Anolis sagrei: one gene and its partner. Each later gene encodes a partner of the first gene's protein in a complex. Links are inferred from orthologs where the notes say so. Each region holds a gene or a part of one and is shown in the gene's direction. Other genes may lie near its edges.

Region 1 (3,749 bases):
ACATACACACACACACATACATACATATACAGTACACACATACATATACATGGAGGGTGAATCAAGGTGGACACATCCCTTCTCCTGTTCTTGTTACCATGGACTATACACACACACACATATACATATATATACATAAATACACACACATACATATGTATGTATGTATATAAATATACATACACATATATATATACACACAAATATACAGTATACACAAACATATACATGGAGGGTGAATCAAGGTGGACTCATCTCTTCTTTTTTGTTACCATGGACCACACACACACACACACACACATACAGTATACATACACATATACATGGAGGGTGAATTAAGGTGGACTCATCTCTTCTGTTTTTGTTACCATGGACCATACACACATATACACACATATATACATATACATGGAGGGTGAATCAAGGTGGACTCATCTCTTCTCCTGTTCTTGTTTCCACAAGAACACATACATATACATGTGTGTGTGTGTGTGTATGTGGTTTTATACACACACACACACACACATATATATATATACACACACAGTGGTGCAGTGGGTTAAACCGCTGAGCTGTTGAACTTGATCAAAAGGTCACCGGTTCAAATCCGGGGAGCTGGGTGAGCTCCTGCTGTTAGCCCCAGCAGTTTGGAAACATGCAAATGTGAGTAGATCAATAGATATCACTCCATCGGGAAGGTAAGGACGCACCATGCAGTCATGCTGGCCACATGACCTAGGAGGCGTCTATGGACAACGACGGCTCTTCAGCTTAGATATGAGCACCAACCCCCAGATCCGGGCATGACTGGACTTAATCTCAGGGGAAAGCCTTTACCTTTTATACACACATGCACACACGCACACACATACATGTATATACCATACTTAGAGTAAGAGATGACGGGGATTTTTGAGGTTCCTCATTCTGATGCCAATTTGGTGGCAAATTCCCTGTGCAATTCACAGGGACCACGATGGGGAACTATGATTGCGTCTCCACTGTTGAATTAACACAGTTCGATACCACTTGGACTGCAAGTGCTCAATGCTATGGACTTTTGGGAGTTGCCATTTTGCAAGGCCTCCTTTGCCAAAGAGAGTTTGGTGCCGGACTACAAATCCCAGGATTTCCATCGCTGTTAAAGTGGTGCCAAATTGCATTAATCGTACAGTGTAGACACACCTTTCCAAATTGTGAATCTGAAGGCCTGCAAAAATGCACAAACGGCTGAATCTCAGCGGCAAGCCTCCAGATGTTTCCCCGCTTCCTTTGAGATCCAGATGTGATCCTTTGCCAAGAGGATCATGTGAGAGGCCTTCCCCTCCTCTTTCCCCTCCTCTTCCTCCTCTTCGCCTTCGAGAAATCTGAGTAAAGCTTGCCGGAGACAAACTGGGCATTTTTTCCATTTGCAGGCCAGACTTCCCCAAAACCTGCATAAAAACCCAAAGGCTGCCAAGATCCCTCCTGTTCGGGTTCCCTCCTTGCAAGAAGACCAGATCCAGCAGCAGAACCCACAGAGGTGAGTAAGGACCATCCCGGGAGTTGTAGTTTGGCCAGGTCTTTAGCCTTCTCGAGCCCAACGCAGTCCCAAGTGGAGTCAAACTGCACCCCTTTGCCCCTCTTCCTCTCCTCCCCATTTCCTTCCTTTCCTTTCCAGCTCCATAGACATTCTCCCCTGGGAATTGTAGCGTCTACGTCCCTCCATCAAACTAGACATCCCAGAAGTGGCCGTTCAAGTGATAACTCTATAGTATAATCAACATGTGATAACTGCATTTGTCCCTTTTTCTCACCCTTTCCTCCCTTTCCCTCCTCCCTTTGTCCCTCCTATTTTTCACTCCTTCCTTCCTTCTTTCCTCTCTCCTTCCTTCCTTCCTTCCTTCCTTCCTTCCTCCATCCATCTCTCTATTTCTCCTCCCTTCCTATTTCACCTTCCTTCCTTCCTATTTCACCTTCCTTCCTTCCTTCCTTCCTTCCTTCCTTCCTTCCTTCCTTCCTTCTTCTCTTCCCTTCCTTCCTTCCTTTGTTCCTTTCTTCCTTCCTCCATCCCTCCCTTCTTCCCTCCTATTTCTCCTTCCTTCTTTCCTTCCTTCCTTCCTTCCTCTCTCTTTCCTTCGTTCCTTCATCCCTCTCTCCTATTTCACCTTCCTTCCTATTTTTAACTCCTTCCTTCCTTCCATTCTTCTTTCCTCTCTCTTTCCTTCCTTCCTTCCTTCCTTCCTTCCTCTCTCTTTCCTTCGTTCCTTCATCCCTCTCTCCTATTTCACCTTCCTTCCTATTTTTAACTCCTTCCTTCCTTCCATTCTTCTTTCCTCTCTCTTTCCTTCCTTCCTTCCTTCCTTCCTTCCTTCCTTCCTCTCTCTTTCCTTCGTTCCTTCATCCCTCTCTCCTATTTCACCTTCCTTCCTATTTTTAACTCCTTCCTTTCTTCTTTCCTCTCTCTTTCCTTCCTTCCTCCAACCCTCTCTCCCATTTCTCCTTATTTCACCTTCCTTCCTTCCTTTTTCTCATCCCTTCCTTCCTTCCTTCCTTCCTTCCTTCCTCCATCCCTCCCTCTTTCCCTCCTATTTCTCCTTCCTTCCTTCTTTCCTCTCTCTTTCCTTCATTCCTCCATCTCTCTTTTCTTTTTCTCCTTCCTTCCTATTTCTCTTCCCTCCCTTCTTTTCTTCCTTCTTCCTCCATCCCTCCCTCCTTCCATCCTATTTCTCTATCCTTCCTATTTCTTCTTTCTTCCTTCTTTCCTCTCTCTTTCCTTTGTTTCTCCATCTCTCTCTCCTTTTCCCCCTTCCTTCCTATTTCACCTTCCTTCCTTCCTTCCTTCCTTCCTTCCTTCCTTCCTTCCTTCCTTCCTTCCTATTTCTAATCCCTTCCTTCCTTCCCCTCCTCCCTCCCTCTTTCCTATTTTTCACCTTCCTTCCTTCCTTCCTTCCTTCCTTCCTTCCTTCCTTCCTTCCTTCCTATTTCCTTCCTTTTTCTAACCCCCTCCATCCTTCCTCTTTCTTTCTTTCCTTTCTCCACCCTCTCTCTCTCCTATTCCTCTTTCCTTCCTTCCTTCCTTCCTTCCTTCCTTCCTTCCTTCCTTCCTTCCTTCCTTCCTTCCTTCCTTCCTTCCTTCCTCTTTGCAGCTTTTCCAGGATGTGGTGGGCACCCTTGGCACTGGCCGCCCTCTTTCCGGCCACCATGGCCACCGGCTACCCAGACGAGACGCTGGACTCTCAGTGGCAGCTCTGGAAGAAAAGCCACCGGAAGGACTACAATGGCCAGGTGACCACAAGAGCATTTTAGACCCAGAGGCAAAGAACGGGGTGACAGGAGGGCACGGGTTCAAATCCTGCCATTTCCTTATAGGGTCGGGAAGGGTGGCTGACTTAATCTCCTCCCACCAGCAAAGATTTTTATTATTATCATTTAGGAATTGTGGGAGTTGATATTAATCCTCTGCCGTTCCAACTATTAAAATGTCCAGGTTCCTTTTCCTCCCTCATTGGTTCTCAGCTCACTTCCATTGCTGCAAATCTGAGTTCAAAAAATACTTGATTCATTCAGAGATTAGAAGCAGCCATGGTGGCGCAATGTTGTGCCGGCTGAACTGCTAACCTGAATGTTGGCAGTTCAGATCTACAAGATGGGGTGAGCTCCCATTTGTCAGCTCCAGCTTCCCATGCGAGGACATGAGAGAAGCCTCCCACAGGACGGTAACACATCCAGGCGTCTCCTGGGCAACGTCTGTGCAGACGGCTGATTCT
Region 2 (3,749 bases), on another chromosome or scaffold:
CCAGTCAGCTTTCATATGATATTGTTTCTAGCACCCACTTTTTGCTTGATATTCAGGCAGCACTTCTTGTAGGTCAGAGCACGGACAAGGGTGACTCCCAGGTATTTGGGTGTGCTGCAATGCTGGGATTCCTTCCCAGGTAATCCTCAGAGCTTGGGATGCTTGTCTGTTCTTAAGGTGAAAGGTGCATATCTGTATTTTAGATTTATTTATTTATTTAAAAGTTTTGTATACTGACCTTCTCACCTCTTTTGAGGGACTCAGACCGGTTTCCAACCATAAAATCACATACAGTCAGTAAAACAACATAATTCATATTACAATAACACATTAAAACAGCAAATATATTCAATAACTACAATGGTCAGTCGTCATACTAAAATCGATTATACATCATCTGCCATCCATATCTCAGGGTGTTGGCTCACTCATCGAATGCCTGCCTCCATAACCACGTCTTTACCTGTTTCCTGAATGTCAGGATAGAAGGGGCGGTTCTGATCTCCAGTGGGAGAGAGTTCCAGGGTCGTGGGGCCACCACCGAGAAGGCCCTGTCCCTCGTCCCCACCAGATGTGCTTGCGAGGCCGGTGGGACCGAGAGCAGGGCCTCTCCAGACGATCTTAATGATCTTGATGGTTCATAGGGGAGAATACGTTCGGAGAGGTAAACAGGGCCGATGGATTAGGGATCAGCTGGTTTTGCTGTAGTAGGCGGTAAGGGCACCTAGAGCTTCGGAGAGCTTCTGTTCTACCATCTGAAAGCTCCCTGCTTGAGCAGTAATGGCATGATCATCTACATAGATGAAACTTTCTGTCCCTTCTGGCAGTGGCTGGTCATTTGTGTAGATGTTGAACATGGATGGAGCAAGCACACTCCCCTGAAGCAGGCCGTTCTTCTGTTTTCGTCATTTACTTCTCTGGTTCTGGAACTCAACAAAAAAGCTCCTGCTTTGTAGCAAGTTTCCTATGAGGCAGGTGAGGTGGTAGTCCTTTGTGATATTATACATTTTTCTCAGGAGGAGGCGGTGGTTCACAGTATCATAAGCTGCTGACAAGTCTATGAAGACAGCTCCTGTGATCTGCTGTCTTTCGAAGCCATCTGCTATGTGCTGAGTCAGGTTCAGCACTTGCGATGTGCAGCTTTCGCCTTTCCTGAAGCCAGCTTGCTGTGGGATCAGACATGGGTCTATTTTTTTTCCATAATTCTATGCAAAATAAGTCTCTCCAGAACTTTGTAGAGGTGACAAAACAGGGAGATTGGTCTACAGTTCCTCAGCCAGCTGGAAGATAGAGGAGCCCATCTCTGCCCAGGCTGCAAGTCACAGTCAACCTGCCCTGGGGAAGTGGCCCAGTGACTCACCAGGGCCTGAGAGAGAGCCACAACCTCCTCGGCCTCTCGCCTGGAAAAACACAGCTCGCCTGGGGCGGGGCGCCTGGGCCGGGGCTCCGCCTTCCCTTGCCTGGGCGGGACCCGCAGCAGCACTTGGGCTTCCCTCCGGGGTCTGGCAGGCGCAGTCGGTCTCCTCTCGCCGCGCAAGGATGGCTCTCTTCGGGTGGATCGATCTGTGGTTCGTTCTCTCTCTCGGCGTGGCGCTGGCCACCGGGCAGTCCCGGACCGGGCAGCGGATGGTGGGGGCGCCCATCCAGGTCTCCGCCGACGACGAGGGCGTGCAGCAGGCCCTCCGCTTCGCCATGAACGAGTACAACCGGGCCAGCAACGACCAGTACGGCAGCCGCGTCGCCGAGGTCCTCAGCGTCAGCAAGCAGGTACGGAAAGCGAGCAGGCCGCTCTGGCCCTCAGCACCAGGCTGGAGGGAGCCCAAGGCTCCCCTATATTGTAGGGGCAATGCAGCTTTTGATCTTGTTTATTTATATTACCAAAATATTAAGAATACAAATGATTATATTATGCAAAATTATTTTGTTTATATAAATAATATTATGTATTTATTATTAAATATTATTATTATTATTAAATATATTATTATATAATATTAATATATTATATAATATATTTTATATTACCTCTCTAATTTGATTTTATTATTCAGAGCCGGTGTTGTCCATAAACATCTCCAAGGTCATGTGGCTGGCATGACTGCATGGAGCGCCATTACCTTCCTGCTGAAGCGGTACCTATTGATCTACTCACACTTGCACTGTTAGGTTGGCAAAAGCAGGGCCTAACAGCAGGAGCTCACCCTGCTTCCCGGATTCGAACCACCAATCTTTCAGTCAGCTGTAATACAGTAAAATAAATAACAACACAGGTTGCCCCCAGTTGTGCAGCAGGTTAAGCTGCTGAACTTAGTTATTTATTTATTTATTTCACAGTTTTCTATACCGAGCTTCTCAACCTCATTGAGGGACTCAGCCTGGTTTCCAGCCATAAAAACATATACACTCATTAAAATATCATATATCACAATTACAAAAACAACTTTAAAAACACTATATATAAAACTACAGTGGTCAGTCGTCCTATTAAGATGGATCTACATCAACTTGCTGACTGAAAGGTTGGTGGTTCAAATCAGTGGAGAAGGATGAGCTCCTGCTGTTAGGCCCAACTTCTGCCAACCTAGCAGTTTAAAAATATGCAAATGTGAGTAGATCAATAGGTACCACTTTGGTGGGAAGGTAACGGTGCTCCATGCAGTCATGCTGGCCACATGACCTTGGAGGTGACTATAGACAATGCCGGCTCTTAGGCTTAGAAACTGAGATGAGCACCACCCCCCAGAGTTGGACACAACTAGACTTAATGTCAAGGGGGAACCTTTACCTTTAGTTACAGTGAACCTTTGTTATCTGCTGGGGTTTGATTCCAGGACACTCCTGGATACCAAAATCTGTGTTTTGCTCCATTCTCATTATATACATGGGTAGTCAAATATGGTCCCTTATATACAATGGCAAAACCAAGGTTTGCTTTTTGTATTGTTTAAAAAAATATATTTTCAAGCCATGGATGCAGGATCCATTGATATGAAGAGCTGAGTGTAGTCAGTATGTAATATCTGCAGTAGGCTGGGCTCTTTCCAGCCTTTTCAGGGTCCTCGATACACACGGAAAGACATATCAGTGTATATAAATGTCTTCTGCAAGGGATCTCATCAGACAGAGCTTGGGAAACATCCTTTCCTGCCGGTCCAGGTCATAATTACTAAGTCCCCCCCCCCCCCCCCGGTCCCCGGTCCCCAGTTTTTCCACATGAGAGCCTTGCAACTGGAGACTAAAACAAGCCCAGTGCCAATGAGTTGTGTCACCCATGTTTTGTGAACTCTCTATGAGTTTGCCATATTTCTCTCTTCCCCTTTGCTCTTCTTCCATTAATAGGAACTGGGAATACAGAAATAATTCCACTCATATTTTTTTCTAGCAGGCATGTTGAGGGGAAAGTTTTGTCCCCAAACCTCTGCTTTGTTGTTGAAATATGCCTTTAAGTTGACTCATGATGATACTGCCCTAGGGTTTGTGTGATAAGATGTATCACTGACTTCCTCTTAGGCTACACTGGTCATTGTATGCATCTTAACACGCTCCCACAAAAAGGTGTGAAAGAATGCCCTTAATGCTCCTTAGTGGCCATCTGGGCCGCATTGTAGTTCTGGGATTTCTTATGTAATCATCTGCACACCAAAAACACATTGTCAATAAAGATGGGGATTCTGACAGAGACACTTTCTATGCTGCCATATAATCCAGATTATCAGGCTCCCCCGGTGGCACAGTGGGTTAATCCCTTG

The links.
Region 2: the proteins of cathepsin K (region 1) and cystatin-like are in contact, whole or in part, in a crystal structure (PDB 8V57), measured with the Mus musculus proteins. The link is inferred for Anolis sagrei from reciprocal best matches to the Homo sapiens genes CTSK and CST3. Residues at the interface, in NP_031828.2 of Mus musculus: Asn132, Gln133, Gly134, Gln135, Cys136, Gly137, Cys139, Trp140, Glu173, Asn174, Tyr175, Cys177, Gly178, Gly179, Gly180, Tyr181, Met182, Ser248, Ala251, Ser252, Gln257, Phe258, Val274, Asn275, His276, Ala277, Ser297, Trp298, Ser301, Trp302; in NP_034106.2 of Mus musculus: Pro27, Arg28, Met29, Leu30, Gly31, Ala32, Pro33, Gln75, Leu76, Val77, Ala78, Val80, Asn81, Tyr122, Pro125, Trp126, Lys127, Thr133.

Annotation. Positions count from the first base shown.
Region 1 is NC_090032.1:4,990,765-4,994,513, reverse strand, and holds the start of cathepsin K, read left to right. Parts: upstream 1-1,341; 5' UTR 1,342-1,522; intron 1,523-3,128; 5' UTR 3,129-3,138; coding exon 3,139-3,267; intron 3,268-3,749. UniProt on the Homo sapiens protein: Thiol protease involved in osteoclastic bone resorption and may participate partially in the disorder of bone remodeling. Displays potent endoprotease activity against fibrinogen at acid pH. May play an important role in extracellular matrix degradation.
Region 2 is NC_090024.1:140,461,087-140,464,835, reverse strand, and holds the start of cystatin-like, read left to right. Parts: upstream 1-1,472; 5' UTR 1,473-1,539; coding exon 1,540-1,767; intron 1,768-3,749. UniProt on the Homo sapiens protein: As an inhibitor of cysteine proteinases, this protein is thought to serve an important physiological role as a local regulator of this enzyme activity.